Linked DNA regions of Arabidopsis thaliana. The protein of the gene in region 3 interacts with the protein of the main gene of each other region in a pairwise test. Each region holds a gene or a part of one and is shown on either strand. Other genes may lie near its edges.

Region 1 (4,525 bases), on a different chromosome or scaffold from region 3:
ATTTTGTGAACATTTTTGGTAATGTAGATATTTAGTGGGTTTGGTTGAGGAGATTAAATAAAAAGCTGGATGATATATAAAGATAGAGAAGAGCATTAAATTGGAAGGTATGAAAATACAGTTAAGACAATGATTCGTGGACTTTAGTGTGTAATACAATCACTTTAATGCCCGTACTACTACTCTACTTTGCAAAGAAGACTCTTGTGTCTTTCTCTATAGTCTCTATTACTTGCGTAACTAGTTGAGAGACTGTTCAAATATTTTTATTTAGCAGCACTTGGCGTTGGCGACATTTAATTTAAGCATGTGTTATTCAAAGAGCGACAGATAGTTTAAATTAAGATTTGATAGTGGAGGACTTTTGACAGATGTGTTCATGATAAAAAAAATAAAGGATTAATTACCTAAAGTTTGGATGAAATCCACAATTGGTATTCTCTGTAACCATCTGCCAAAAATTCAAAAATTTGTGTGTTAATAATAGTGTCTATTTATAAACACAACAAATTTCTAAGCAACTGTTTTATTACTCGCACAAAAAAAGAAACTTGTGGTGTTCATAATTTAATCTGTTCTATAAGGCCCACTCATTATTTCAATCCAACCATATCATTTAAGACTTTCAAGTCTTAAATCAAAATCTATGCAGGTTTGATTTAAAAGGATAAACTGGTTAACAAAATGTAAGTTTCGTCCAAGGTTTCATTAAATTTAGGGTTGATTTCCATTAAATTGGTTTCGTTGACAAGTTGGTTCTTCACCCACACACAGCTCTTGTTAGCTCTCTCGAGGACCCACCATTAGTTTGTATTTTATATGAAACTGTAATGTAAATTATTTATGCATATTTGGTTGGGTAAGAGTCCATGTTTTGTTTGCTATTTATACGACCTAATTATTGAAATTCATTGACAAATTCGGCCAAGTAGACTACTAGTTAGTTTTTCTCACCTGTGAAATATGAATTTTGTTTTTATGTATTGTGTGAGACTGTGAGCTGTGTTTGTTTATATTGGTCCAGTACATATATCAACTTTTGTATGGATATATACACATTCTTTTTAACCACTAAAGCTTAAAACAGTAAAGGATGATGAGCAAGTAATATCTGAAAGAATGGGAATTCAATGAGATTATTAATGGTGATTTTATTTCATCTATCCTTCGACATTATTACAAGGTTTTTAGTCGTCAAACCGGTTCAAAATTGACAAAAATCGGTTCAAGTTTAATTCTCTGCTCTCCTGAGACTGCTTAAACTTTTGAGTGGTCCTTGCTGCTCAGACCATGGAGGTCGTTTGTTGTTTTCCTGAAATATAACACAGTTTATTATAAATGATTCATCAGATGATTACTTACTCGGATCTCAAAATGTATCAACTCTTCCAAGTATGATTTGGACATGGAGCACAAAACCATCTGTGAATACATACACTGATATCTGTGACAGAATTGCAGGAGGAACATCTAACAGCTGGAGCTCCATAAGGATACATCAGTAGCAGTTTGCAATTGTTGCAATTCACCTGACCAACCTGGTTAGCTGCAAACAAAGAACGACAAGTCCAGAACCGATAAGAGAAGAAGGCTATTTCATCAATAATGAGGCCAAGTGATTCACAAGCTAAGAAGAACAATCTTGGTCTTAAGATCACACAATTTCCCCAAGAGTAGTAAGAGTAAAGGATAAAGACCACATAAATGGTCTACAAAGGAGACATTATGATGGAGTAGAGACCAAAAGGCTCACAAAAGCTTAAGAGAAGAATCCTAACCAAAGATCATTCTTGTGTCAGTTAAGAACTAAACTCATTTGGTCTCAGGAAGCTTACATTTTGAGATTCTCAAAAGAACATAGATATATCATTCACACATGCTAAGTAAAACTAGACTGAGAGAGCATTCCAAGATTGTTCCATTAAGAGTTTCAAGTGACTGAGATTATCAACAAAAGCTTTTCAAGTAATGAATAAGAGATAAAAAAGCCATGGAAGAACGAACCTTCAAGAACGAGATTAACAGTCTGACAAGAGGAGCACTTAACATGTTTGGATCCTCTTAGATAAGAAAGCAAACGCCTGCAAGATCCACATACCATTTGGGCCTTTTCTGCAACAACCCCAAAAACAAAGAAGATTTGCAGAAAAAAAACACTAATCAATTCTCGGAATCGAAAATGGGTTATCTCTAAAAGTCTACAAACTCCACTAAAAATCTCTAATTTGATCAGACTGTAGCAAGAAATGGAAGCAAATCGATAAACCCTAAAATAGACAAGACTACAAGAATACCGGGAATTTCTACGGTGGTGGGATTGGGGTTTACGGCGGCGGTGATGGTGACGATTGGAGGAGGAAGAACTGCAGATTCCCATCCCGGAGGCGGACCTTCCTCTTCCTCCTCTTCTTCTTCACGGTGCTTTTGTTCTTCCTTCTGCGTTTGTTGTTGTATCTCTTCCATCACGCCTTCCGTCTCGGCTCCGGCGAAGATGTCCAAAGTTAACTCTCAGATTATTATTACTTTTACCTTTTTAACTTTCCAGTAACGTTGACAAATAGTTGACTTTCTTAATAAATGTAAGGTAAAATTCAATACAAGAACAAACAAAAAAGATTTAGAAAGAAAATCAAAACAAATGATAGTAGATAAATTCGTTATTGCATCGGTGAATCAATGAACAATGTTCACATGACTCTCTTATCAATCAGATGGTAGTAACAACAGCATGCACTACAGCTAAATATTCTAGCTCATCCTTGGCTTTATATACATCGTCAAACCATTCTAGTATCCCCCAAATCTCTCCATCCTTGCGTTTTTCAATCGTAATTTCCGCACACCAAATTTTTCTCACGTTACCCCACTCCTTAGCACTCCACGTACACCACCACCATTTTTCCACCATAATATGCCAATTTAACATTACCATAAACTTTAGGCAATCTTTCCAACCCCTTCATAGTTGTCCATGATCCTTTTTCCGAGTCATACCAATCGATCATACCGTTACCACTTCTATTGCAACAGTAGAACACGTTCTTTATCACACAAAAAAATGATGAGCAACGCCATCCATTATTCATCGCTAAGTCTGCCGCTATCCATCTACCTTTATGCAGCTTGTAAGTCACATTATGAAAATACGACCTTACATAGACAGTTCCTTCATACACTATGCTCTCACACTTATAGCCTGTGCATATCTTCTCCTCACTCGGGAATTGCAAAAACTCCCAAGTTTGGGTTTTCGTATCAAAAACCTCCATCCATTTCGTTGAATCGAGAGTTCCGCGGCCTCCTGTTACATATATTTTCCCATCAAGGACGCAAGTAGATTGGAACACACGGGAAACCTGCATGCTAGGGGCCTCACACCATGTGTGAGTACGACAATCCATGACCATGACGCTAGACGAAGGTTTAGTTCTATTATTACTGAATCCCCCAATAGCGTAGATATTAGGACCAACAGCCACTACACTATCCGACCATGATGCAGATTTAGGATATGAAATTGGGATTAAAATCTTTTTTGAGCTATTTGGTTTGCGGCAAAGAGTGAACCAAATTAATTGTGGGTTAGAAGCGTCATATGTAATCTGCGTTAAGCACACGTACAAACAACTCTCGGTGCGGCCTAAGAGAGTTTGGGTCTGGTAAAGCTCCGTTGAAGTAAGGATAGAGCGGAATCTCTTGGATACTAAAGAGAGAGTTGGATAGTACTATCTTGAGATGCGGGCCAAATTAAACAGTTTAAAACCAAATCATCAGGAAGCATAAGAAAATTCATCCGTCTTCTTTTAAAAGGTGGCTCTTCTCCGTTCATTGCTGTGGAAGTGCACCCGAGAGCGCTAGCTGTGTCGGCTTTGCTTTTTTTTTCTCTCTCTCTTTTAGGGTTTAAGTAGCTTTTCACGTAAGAAACTCTTTTTTGTGTGTTTTGCGCTTAGGCTTTTTATGTCTCACTTGAAATCTTTATATAGCGAATTATCATTCCTAATCTAATGAGGAAATCTAACTTCTTTTTCTATTTTACTCCTTTATGTTAACTTACCTTTTTCATAAGATAAGAAGAAGGATACTAATTAACAAAACTGAAAACAAACAAAAAAAATGCAAAGTGTTATCCGTTAGTGTGGTTTGTTATTGGAAGTTTGAACCATGTCCCAAAATAACAAATTTTTGCATGAAGATTTTGGAGGTTCACTCATTAGTCATGACTCAACCATTCACAGTGTTATAAAAAACACTTAAAAGGAGTTGTTACGTGGGTTCTCAAGGATCTTTTTCTTAGATTCATAATCCTGCGAGCTTCGGTTTTGCAGAAAAGATACGATTAAGAGTAGCTGCCAAGCGAATCCCACCTTGTGCAAGTCTCTTCTCTACAACGGGTAACCGAGAAAGGAAATACTCATCTGCAGAGAAAGCAGAAGATCAAGTCATGTCCATGATTAAAGAAAACAAAAAGCCACGATCTGGTTTCATAGAGTAAGTATACCTCCTAAAGTAGTCCCCGGAGTAGCGT
Region 2 (5,736 bases), on a different chromosome or scaffold from region 3:
ACGTTCGAAAAACGGCATCCGCTATGGCAAACGCTTTTGTCCTTCTTCTGGCCTGTATTGACTCTTGCAATTTGTTTGTTTCCTGTGTATCCACACCGTTGCAAACTAATTGTACTCTACTCATGTGCGGGCATTCTTCTGATGATTCTCTCCTTACTTTTCGGTAAGCTCTATTACACAAATACTCTGTTTAATATTTTTGTAATTGCACCTTCGAGAGTCATTTTCTTGGGAGTATTATTTACTAGCGATAGCTACTAAACTGAAGGGGGTCATATACTCATGTAGTTTTAACTTGGCTTATACTGAGATTAGTCCTTCTTGATTACCTCTTGCAGTGAGAGCAGTTGCTTTCGGTGCTATGTGGATTCTTTTGGGAAAGCGTGTCTGGTTCTTCCCCAACATTCTAGCTGAGGAAGCCACATTGAAGGAACTGTTCCGTTTCTGGCCAAAGAAAGACGAGGAAGAACCGCCCAAGTGGACATCTCGACTTTTCTACACAGTAGTGGCTATTGTTGTTGTCATGCTGCTTAGGCGTCATGCCCCTGATGAAGCTGCTCGGGCCAGGTATACACTGCCTTCTCGTCCACCTTTAAATATCGCTTAAACTAATTGTACTCTACTCATTTGAATTTAGTGCAGTAGAGGTTGAATTGTGATGAGTTTTGTTCATACAGGTACCAAAGAAGGATGTCCAACATCATTGATGATGTCCTTGAGTGGTCACCAAAGCTAGCACTTTCTGGTTTGATGGAGAATCAGCAACCTGTAAACATCACAGATGCGGCAAACAACTCCTCAGATTCAGCAGGAGGTCCCGACCAGACTGAAGAGGTCGACCTAGATGAAACTCAAGGCGAGGACCTAGACGAAACGCAAGGCAAGGAGGAAGCTGAAGGTTGGACTGACTCTGATCTTAAAACATAAAAAAACCAAAATATAGAAACGAAAGTTCATTGTAACAATAAGTCAACTTAAGTGACCAAGACGAGGTGAGTTCTTTATAAGAAAGTCTTGAAAGATTTTGTGGTACTCCATTACTCCTTTACATTTTGACACAATCTGGAATTTAGCTCTCAATCACAGTTTTGTATTCCAAACTTCAATTCCAGCTAAGAAATGTTTAGTTAAGATAGAATTGAAAAAGAAAAGTGGCAACATCTGAAGTATTCCAAACTGAAAGGGAAAAAGTCACAAAAAGCTACAAAAAGTATTTGTACAAAATCAGAAGAAAAAAAAACGAGAGAAAATACTCTTTCATGGCTGCTACCGAATAAGCCAACAAAGAGAAAGCCAAGAATGAATTGCCGCCTTGTGAGGTCATTTAATGGCTAGACGAGCTTGAGAAGGATGGTTTGAGGAAAGGCTGTTCCATTGCTGCCCTGAACACTCTCCTTCTTCCCTTCTCTTATAAGCTGAGCTCTGCATCTCATCTCCCTGAGGTGTTCTATAGTCACCATTCCAAGCTTCACCTTGATCAGAATTAGATGATGACGGGGACTGAGTAACATGACCATTGCTCTTTTCTTCAGCTTTACGCTTTGAAGCTTCGGTGTTGGTTTTCTTTGCAAACCGTCCTCCAGTACCCCTTGGCCTCCTCATAGCATGTTGATGCCGAGATTCATGTAGATAAGGCTGTGGACCATGCAAACAAAGAAAGAGATGCATTAAGCAGTGTGATGCGTTCACAGTTAGATCAGACCTCTCAAGAAACTAATATACATGGTAACACGCAATGCACCTTTCTGGATTTTATTAGCTTCTTCTCTAGCTCTGCCTTGGCGCGTGCCTGCCTTCGCCTCAGAATCGCCTGGTACTGTTTAGCATTCACGAAAACTGGTTCTTGTGCCATCTCAGGCGGCAGTGGCATTCTTGAATGAGGCATCCCACCATATGGAACAAACCCCTGATAGGTTAAATGTGTTATTTATTATAAAGTCACATAGATGCTAAATAGATAAGAAGAGCCTAAAAATTCCTGTCGTGAACTAAATACATCTTCTCAATATCTTCAATAAACTGCTGCTATAAATCATAATTCATCTATCTATCAGGAACACTGTTAGACAATTATAATCATGCTAGACTTCACAAAGCACCTACAGCTAATAGAATATTTAAACATGCAATCTCATGTTTCGCAACCCAATAGCAATCATGAATCATGGTAGACATGTCACATGGTTAAATCGTCTTAACAGAGATAATCAGTTGAGGCTTTAGGAAAACTTGTAAATAGTTTGGAAATAGTCATATACCAGGGGATGATGTCCATAGGCTCCCATCACTCCTGCATAATATGGATCCTGGTATGGATTTGAGGATGCCCATCCCTGCATGATTCATAACCGGGAAAAAACTAAATTGTAAGCAACCATAGCTAAAATTTTCCCAAAGGAAATGATAAGAACAATATATCTATATTGGGAAGTTACAACTGTGTGGCCAACAAGTTGAGGGTGAGGAGGAGGTTGTGTGATGCCATGATGCAGAGATTCTTGGTTTTTATCACTATAATCTCCAGCTGCATATCGAAATAAACCAACAACACTTGGTTAAGAGTATTAAACACAACAGTAAGCAAATCCGCAAGCGTAATGCACCTGATTGTGGAGACGTTGTGACTTGTGATTCCTTGTTAACAGTATTATCTCTATTGGATGGTGATTTGGAACCGTTTGATTCCAATGCTAATGCTATTGACTTAGAAGATTTATCTCCAGCTTCCACACTAGAATTTGCATTGCAAGCAGCAGCAGCACGATGCCAAGGGTTTAAACTATTTATCGACGACGATACTGTACCATGAACCTCTGAATCAACCTTGTTCCCACCACTGTCAGATTTTGAATGCATGTCTTCAATTCCCTATTCAAAATCCGATATTTAGTGATGAATCTACAACTACATAATCCAATTCTATCGAAACAAGACCAAAAACATCCAACACAAAACAACAGAATTTCAATAAAATTCAGCAATTTTGACTCTTAATACTCCACGAAAGGATTTCAGTAACAAGAAACAATCAAAACCCAGAAACGTAAGAAGACAGAATTAACAAAAAGTCGAAACTTGAATTTTGCAACTTTGAAAAAAAAAAATTGAGAGATGGGAACAAGACAACAAAAACCCTAGAACAAAGGTATAAGCAGGTTCATGCAATCATAAATGACTGAAATTTCGAGATACCATTCAATCGGAGACAGTCTCGGAGGTGTCCACGGTGATTGAAGGAGACGCTTCTTCCGCTTGGACGATGAAACGATCTGAGGAAGCTTTTTCCAGTCAGAGGAAAGAACAAAAAAAAAAATATTTATGGAATTGAATTTTATTATATTATTTTGTTGTTGTTGTATTTGATCGTCGTCGTAAGAAGTATTTTTTGTTCCGTTTTGAATTTTAGCTGCCACGTGCTGTCCACGTGAACGGCGGCAACATATAACTTTTTTTTAGTAGATATTAAAATTCGAGTGTATGTGTAATTAATTTACCTGGGCCTATAATGGGTATTAAAGCTTCTATCTTATAAAGGCCCAATAGCTTACCCTCTTTTTTTTCTTTCTTCAACATCTTTAATTTGGTTTTATATATTTTTAGCTTTTCAGCTCTTTAGTACTTGCATGATTGCTAGTAGTACTGAAGAAATGAAAAAGATTGTAAAAATAATAATACATATAGGCAGAGTAAAGTGATAAAGTATAATGTAACTAGAGAAATAGAAATATTTTTTTAAAGAAAATCATTGAAATGGCTAATTATTCAACATAAATCACAATTTTATAAAATTATGTGATTGAAAACTTTTTTTTATATAGAATTGAGATACTATTGTACGGGTTTAATCAATTAAAATCACAATCATAGTGTTTTCTTGTTCTTTCTGTCAAATCTTTCTTATCCATTTCTTGTTTTTTTGTTCAAAATATTTATTGTCCTTTCTTAAGCAAATCAATTAGCTTTAAAAAAATATGATTATTTGGGCATATTGGCTTCTAATTCCTTGTTTGCTTAATTGAGTTTTGTTTTGTACATTTCTAGTATAACTAGAGCTTCTTCATGTACACTTTTGATTGCTTTGACCCTTGTATAGATAGTTAAGAATCATTTCTTTATTCTGTTGAAAAAAGAATAATCAATTCTGTATTATCGATGATGTGATTAATATGTGTTTTTAATTTTTGTGAAAAAAAGAGAGAGAGAGAGAGAGAGAAAATGATAAGAAAAGCCGCATGAGTAGCTTCATTGGATTCCCTTGGCGGATGTTATCCTCTGCCTCGACACTGCGGCCATCCCCACTAACTCTTCTCATATTTCTCGTCTCTTTCCTTTCACTAATTTTATAACATTATCTTCATATTCCTATAGTTAGTGAACACTAATTGGAATGTTTGAAGTTAAAAGAAGTGGATTTAAAATATGATTTTAATTAAGGAAGAAAATGTAGAAAATTAATATTACTAAATATGATATTATATAAAGATGAAAAAAAAAGCTTAAGTTAAAATATTTGAAACTAGATTTTGAAAAACAAATTGACCTAATCAGTACTCTTGGTGGGATTTGATTATCAACGCCCATTAACATACACCATTAATTAAAAAATGGGCATATCAGAAACTACTTTTTCTCGAATATTTTTAGTGATATAGGAAAGGTTTCTATGATTTAATTAGAAATGTGTGCATACATACATATCATATAAAATTTATTTTTATATTATAAAGTATCTGAAGATTGACTTAGTAAACTTAATTTATGCTAGTTTCTATGCGGTGTTAATGTTATTGGACCTAAACTCATTACGAAGTTCCACGTAAAAGGTGACTGTTTCTCAATCAAATAATATTGTATAATCTCTCTCTGATAGTTTTACTTTTAAAAATCGTATACATGTGTAAGATCAAAAACTTCTAAATAAAAACGACTAGCTAAGATATACTACTTCAGTTCAGATTACTTAATTTTTTACTATCAACTGTCAATTGAACGAGGTATATGAACAAACGATCAAAGGTAATGAACAAAGTAGCGAGGAAGAACAAAACATCAGGTGAACAAAAAAAAAACTCAATCCACATCAAAGTTACAATAACTGACGAAGCTAAGTAGGCTAGAAATTAAAGTCATCAACCTAATACATAGCACTTAGAAAAAAGTGAAGCAAGAAAATATAAAATAATAAAAGGGTGGGTTATCAATTGATAGTGTAAATCATAGTTGATTTTTGATATACCCTACCACAAAAACTCAAACCGACTTGATTCAAATCATCTCAAAAAACAAGCGCCAAAATAATGAAAAAAATAATAACAAAAACAAACAAACCAAAATAAGAAAAAACATTACGCAAAACATAATAATTTACTCTTCGTTATTGTATTAACAAATCAAAGAGATGAATTTTGATCACCTGCTAATACTACTTTCTGTATTGATCCTATATCAAAAAAAAAAAAGATACTAATAATTAACTAAAAGTACGTTCATCGATCGTGTGCGTTGACGAAGAAGAGCTCTATCTCCGGCGGAGCAAAGAAAACGATCTGTCTCCGTCGTAACACACAGTTTTTCGAGACCCTTTGCTTCTTCGGCGCCGGTGGACACGTCAGCATCTCCGGTATCCTAGACTTCTTGGCTTTCGGGGTACAACAACCGCCTGGTGACGTCAGCACCGCTGCTGGGGATGGAGAGGGAACAGAGTAGATTGTGTCTAGAGGAGAAGACAAAGTCGTT
Region 3 (6,157 bases):
ATCATGGATGATTCAAGAAAATAGACCACTTTTTGAGATACTTTTCCGTAAACCCTAAGTATATCCATAATATCTCTACATTGACCAATGACAAATAGTAGTTTAGATATTGATGGACTTATGGGAGCTAGTTTTTATTATTAACTAGATTTTAACCCGCGGTATACCGCGGGACGATTTATTTTTAAAAGTAATATATATTAAAACTTGCAAATTTTATTTTTACAAAATATTTATATTTTACAGTTTATAATTGTTATTAAGTAACGCTATACCACGAATTCATGAGACAATTGTTAAAAAAACTGAAGTTTTGACCCCTATTAAAACAGCATATTAATAATATTTTAAAATTTTATAAATATTGATTCAAATACATCCACCATATAACCCAATTCCAAAATAAAACACGTTCTGTAATTTCTTTACCCGTCCCATGATTATTTTTTTAAGTAGTAATTTTTAAAATTTTAGAATTATTTTTATATATAAAAGTTTTGCAAATTGTATCATTCTCTAATACATTTATATTTTATAGTTTAAATTAAATTAATTAAAATTTAGATATCAAATCTTATAAGTTGATTTTGATTGGCTATTATTTTTAAAAATTAATAATGTATTTCGTTTTTAATTAATTAAATTAATTAAATTAGTATTTGACTTTTTAATCCTTAAAGAGATAAATTAATTTACTCTTTAAAATTTTATTTCTAATGGCATACCTATGTAATTACTTACAAAAATTAAGGTTACATTTAAAATGTACTTCCCAAATAATATAGTAGGATAAATTGTTTTATCTATGATTTATGAATATCCACATCAGTTCTGTAAAAAATAAAACTAAAAGAAAAACCAAGGAGAAAACAAATCGCCTTGTAAAAAACCGTTTTTGATAAATGTAACATTTAGGTTTTGTGTTAGTTAAGATCCGAAACAAGACAAATCTTATACACGCCATAATCCAGTATGTCGAAATCTACACCGTATTAATTATTGCTACTATGAACAACCATTCTATCCGATCATAGACTTTACTCTTATTTGTCGTTATTATCATAAAATGTCGTTTAAATAAATTATTTGTAGGATACCAATTCTTTAATTATATTAGTTCAAACACGTATAATTTTGGTGGTTTTTGAGGATGAATATCATCAAAGATAAATGCATTTTGGTGAAATAAATAATCAAATAATTATTTTAAATTATCTTTATGCACCACTATTTTTAATAAATTGGACTCTTACAACGTTTTCCTTAAAAAAAATCATGGATCTTAAAACTTATACCCAAACAAATATGTAGAAAATTATTATTATATATATAAATATATATATATATATATAAGCTATACAAAATCTTATTATATAGTAGTAGCGCTTGATTCTAAAATAGCATAATTAGACGAAAAAGCATGCATTTTGTAACATTTTATACTTTGTAAGTAAAACACATAAAAAATAATTTTATGAATAAGAAATCCACATAAAAAAAAAAAGAAGTAACATACTGTGAAAAATTAGGAAACTTTTTGAGGCACCAATTTTTTATGCCACTTTCAAAAAAGCATTAATGAAAATTTGTTTAAAATATCATTTTAAAATTTGACGTACAAAAGTACAAAACCTCATACAATTTCAAAACTTTACAAAGACTCAATAACATGTGTTATAGAGACTTTATAAACTTTCTTATAACATACTCTATAATTTTTTATATCCATATATTTGTGATATTTTTGAAAATGGATAAAATAAATTTGATATTTTTATAAATAGAAAATATTAATGGTATTTTTGAATTTTTCCCAAAATAATTATTAGTCTTATACTCCAAAATGTAAAAAAAAATCACTTTTTATTAAAAAAATACTTACGCATTTGCTTAATTGCTAGTCGTCAAAGTTTTGTCATTTTATGCAAATACTAAAAAAATGTAGAAAGCATTTCCTCTTTATTTTTGGGACAACCAAGAAAGGAGCATTTCAATAGTGTATACATAGACAAAAATATTTCTCATTTCCTATATTTGACTCTTTAAATCTTTAATAGCTCTTGTAATTTTTTCCATTCATTGTAATACAGCCATAATGTTTAAAAGGAAACTGTCAATTATAAACTTATACTAGAATATAAAATATGGTATTGAATTGAATATTTTCAAAAATAAAATATTAAATTTACGAAAAGAATAAAAAAACTTAAAAATCTCTCTCTCCTATCTCTCAACCACAACTTATTTTTCATGTCAGTATCCACCAACACATATATACGGCATATAAAAGATTTTAATAAAACCTTGGAACTATCTATATCTATTCAGACACACACGTCTATATATATATATACACTCATATACTACTTTCACTGTATCATTCTTGTTTTCTCTAAATTTTTCAAAAAACCTTTAGAATTTTCATTTTTTTACGATTCCGATGTTAACTGTTTCTCCGGCTCCAGTACTCATCGGAAACAACTCAAAGGATACTTACATGGCGGCAGATTTCGCAGATTTTACGACGGAAGACTTGCCGGACTTTACGACGGTCGGGGATTTTTCCGATGATCTTCTTGATGGAATCGATTACTACGACGATCTTTTCATTGGTTTCGATGGAGACGATGTTTTGCCGGATTTGGAGATAGATTCGGAGATTCTTGGGGAATATTCCGGTAGCGGAAGAGATGAGGAACAAGAAATGGAGGGTAACACTTCGACGGCATCGGAGACATCGGAGAGAGACGTTGGTGTGTGTAAGCAAGAGGGTGGTGGTGGTGGTGACGGTGGTTTTAGGGACAAAACGGTGCGTCGAGGCAAACGTAAAGGGAAGAAAAGTAAAGATTGTTTATCCGATGAGAACGATATTAAGAAAAAACCTAAGGTGTGTTTATTTCCCAATTATCCATGTTAGATTAGTTTATTTTTTTTCTTCTTTAAAGGTAAAAAATCCCATTAAGAAATCACCAACCTTTTTAAGGATTTCATTAAAAAAACATAAACTTCTAGTGTTTCTGAATATTTTTTTTACAAAGTTAGTGAATTAGTGTATTTATCATATACACAATTATTATTAAGTTTGATAACTGGAGTAGATCTAGGACCAAAACCAAGTTTTGTGTAGTAGGACTATACAAATTTGTGTGTTTATTTGGACTAAATATTTTTTTTTATAAAACTGTAAGACAATTTTCTATAAAAAAAATGAATTCCTTTTTTTTCTTTTCATTTATTGATTAATTAATATATTGTTCCGGCAAATCAGGTGGATTGGACGCCGGAGTTACACCGGAAATTTGTACAAGCGGTGGAGCAATTAGGGGTAGACAAGGCGGTGCCGTCTCGAATCTTGGAAATTATGAACGTTAAATCTCTCACTCGTCACAACGTTGCTAGCCATCTTCAGGTAAATTTTAGACTAAAACTATACAAACTAATTTTAACAGGAATTAATCAAGTGCTATAACCCCTAACATAGTAATTACCTAATTTATAGATTACATGTTTTTCCTTCAAAATTTTTTATGAAAAGACAAGTAAAATACTAACCAACTCAGATTTGTGTAATAAGATTAATTTGTGTTGTGTTCTTCTTGTAATGATAGAAATATAGGTCACATCGGAAACATCTACTAGCGCGTGAAGCAGAAGCTGCCAGCTGGAATCTCCGGAGACATGCCACGGTGGCAGTGCCCGGAGTAGGAGGAGGAGGGAAGAAGCCGTGGACAGCTCCTGCCTTAGGCTATCCTCCACACGTGGCACCAATGCATCATGGTCACTTCAGGCCTTTGCACGTATGGGGTCATCCTACGTGGCCAAAACACAAGCCTAATACTCCGGCGTCTGCTCATCGGACGTATCCAATGCCGGCCATTGCGGCGGCTCCGGCATCTTGGCCAGGTCATCCACCGTACTGGCATCAGCAACCACTCTATCCACAGGTAATAATAATTCATTTGTAAAAATGTTACATGTTTTTCCATTATTAGTTGTATGGTTAAATCATGAAAAATAATCGAAATGACATAACTAAATCAGCTTTGTTGAACAATCATGACACTGCAAAAAGCTAGTCTTTGTACACTATTGGCTTTTTAACACATGCAACATATATAAGTATAAAACGGAATCATTGAATTAGATTGTGGTTTTGTCTAACAACGCAATTAGTAAAAGATTGCAAGATCATGAATCATTTTTATGTAGACAACTAATAAAGATTTAGAGCTATGAATTATGTATGGATTTTACAAAAACATATTTCTAATCATGGTTTATGTGTATATATGTGTAGGGATATGGTATGGCATCATCGAATCATTCAAGCATCGGTGTTCCCACAAGACAATTAGGACCCACTAATCCTCCCATCGACATTCATCCCGTGAGTGCACCTTTTTTGGTTTCAATTTTGTTTATTAGATTTTGATTATGACATAACCCAAAAAAGTTTTCGAATAAATTTTGGATAATTAACAATATTTCATTACTTGACGGTTGCAGTCGAATGAGAGCATAGATGCAGCTATTGGGGACGTTATATCAAAGCCGTGGCTGCCGCTTCCTTTGGGACTGAAACCGCCGTCGGTTGACGGTGTTATGACGGAGTTACAACGTCAAGGAGTTTCTAATGTTCCTCCTCTTCCTTGAGAAAGATCTCCAAAATTTGTCGAAATCTCAAACTTTTAACTTCATTTTTTTGGTATCTTCTATGTATTTTTGCAAGGGAAAGACGATAAATCCTTGTTGCTTGATCATATGTATTTCTCTATATGAGTGCATGTATCGAAGTTAAGCAACTTTAATATATCGTTATAATCTTCGATAGCAGAATCTGTAATTTTTATTAACTTTCAACTCCCGAAGCATCATTGCAAAATGACTAAATGCAACACTTTTTGGGGTTAAAAATGCTTAACATTTTAAAACATTACTATCATTTATTCAATCAACAATTTATAGTTTTATACAATTGAAAACTAGACGGGATATATATCGCATGTGTTTTTTCAATGGCTTATTTTGTTTTATAATGCCAACTTTCACAGCTATGGATTGTGACTATTTATAATTTCAAAGAAGTCAAATATTTTTAAAACTCAATTAAAGTCCATAAAAAAATTTGCAATTGATAATGTTAACATATCGTGGCAAAAAAAAAAAAAAAGTACAACACATAATTGGAGTTTAGATATACGAATATTCTTTTAATTGGTTCCATGTAAAAAACTTAATTCAAACGGATTCGATTGGTGACACAAAATGGTAAAAACAAAAAAGCGGAAAAAGTTTTAAAAATACTAGAATAGTTGAAAGAAGTAAAAAAAATACAGGTACAAAAAATACAATAGTACAAAAAAATACTAGAATAGTTGTAGATATACTTTTGTGTTTAGTAAACTATTAAAGCATTAAATATTGTACCATGCGATAGAGATTACCAATCAAAAGCCAAAGTGATGATGCAGAATAAGTTAATAACAATTACTTTGGGGTAAGAAGTTTAAATTACTCTTGAATGTAGAAGGCATGAAAGTGGCATGTTTGATGGATTGTGTTTGTCGAGCATTGTGCAGACGCAGCTCAATAACGTTAATTTATATACATTCAACTCTTGAAAGACATTGAAGCTGTATCTTTGGCTTTGACACACTAGCAGCTCTCGATGGAGTTATGCGTGATCTAGTTAGTTACTATATCTCATTCTCCATCAGATAAATGTAAGTTCGTATAATACTTTTTCGGAAGCTTCTAATGCATAAAGGAGCTGTATTTGGACAAATACTTTGAGAAATGTAAGAAGCGTACAATGTGATGAGAAAGAATGATACAAAGTGATTAGTGAGTACTATGGAGGGCCTTCACTCGGCTACTTTAGCCCAATAGACTAGTAATGACATATCAGTTGATCAAGGAGCAAAAGTTAATGAGGACACTGATATTGAACGAAACCACTTAAGAAAGGTTGTAATGAAAATCTAGAAAACCCAAACTGAGTTCAGACTCATCAATCTAAAGATTACATTGACCATTCAGCAACATTGACAACTTCTAAAGTTTTGTTTTAAGATCTTCTCTTCCGATCATCTTCACCATCGTCATCGGAGTCACCGCTCTCACGGAATCGTGGGTTCTTCTCCTGTTACAATCACAC

The links. Proteins that work in one complex are often made in the same cells at the same time.
Region 1: the proteins of GLK2 (region 3) and LOL2 interact in a two-hybrid assay, tested with the Arabidopsis thaliana proteins (one large-scale study listed by BioGRID).
Region 2: the proteins of GLK2 (region 3) and NF-YA9 interact in a two-hybrid assay, tested with the Arabidopsis thaliana proteins (one large-scale study listed by BioGRID).

The regions. Positions count from the first base shown.
Region 1 is NC_003075.7:11,487,007-11,491,531, reverse strand, and holds LOL2 (lsd one like 2), read right to left. Parts: upstream 2,557-4,525; 5' UTR 2,464-2,556; coding exon 2,295-2,463; intron 2,113-2,294; coding exon 2,005-2,112; intron 1,547-2,004; coding exon 1,437-1,546; coding exon of another isoform or gene 1,380-1,436; exon of another isoform or gene 1,313-1,379; coding exon 1,232-1,312; 3' UTR 1,109-1,231; downstream 1-1,108. Other genes in the region: AT4G21620 (glycine-rich protein), read right to left, coding at 1-13; ENDO5 (endonuclease 5), read right to left, coding at 4,297-4,415, 4,499-4,525. UniProt on the Arabidopsis thaliana protein: Putative zinc finger that may be involved in programmed cell death and defense response.
Region 2 is NC_003074.8:7,323,954-7,329,689, reverse strand, and holds NF-YA9 (nuclear factor Y, subunit A9), read right to left. Parts: upstream 3,336-5,736; 5' UTR 3,196-3,335; coding exon 3,193-3,195; intron 2,869-3,192; coding exon 2,604-2,868; intron 2,525-2,603; coding exon 2,436-2,524; intron 2,334-2,435; coding exon 2,259-2,333; intron 1,907-2,258; coding exon 1,742-1,906; intron 1,636-1,741; coding exon 1,321-1,635; 3' UTR 1,109-1,320; downstream 1-1,108. Other genes in the region: AT3G20920 (translocation protein-like protein), read left to right, coding at 1-163, 339-567, 678-927; AT3G20900 (uncharacterized protein), read left to right, coding at 5,020-5,053, 5,534-5,706; AT3G20898 (uncharacterized protein), read right to left, coding at 5,487-5,713.
Region 3 is NC_003076.8:17,795,995-17,802,151, forward strand, and holds GLK2 (GOLDEN2-like 2), read left to right. Parts: upstream 1-2,286; 5' UTR 2,287-2,440; coding exon 2,441-2,887; intron 2,888-3,268; coding exon 3,269-3,409; intron 3,410-3,608; coding exon 3,609-3,944; intron 3,945-4,297; coding exon 4,298-4,387; coding exon of another isoform or gene 4,388-4,432; exon of another isoform or gene 4,433-4,506; coding exon 4,507-4,653; 3' UTR 4,654-4,932; downstream 4,933-6,157. Other genes in the region: CBP20 (CAP-binding protein 20), read right to left, coding at 6,068-6,142.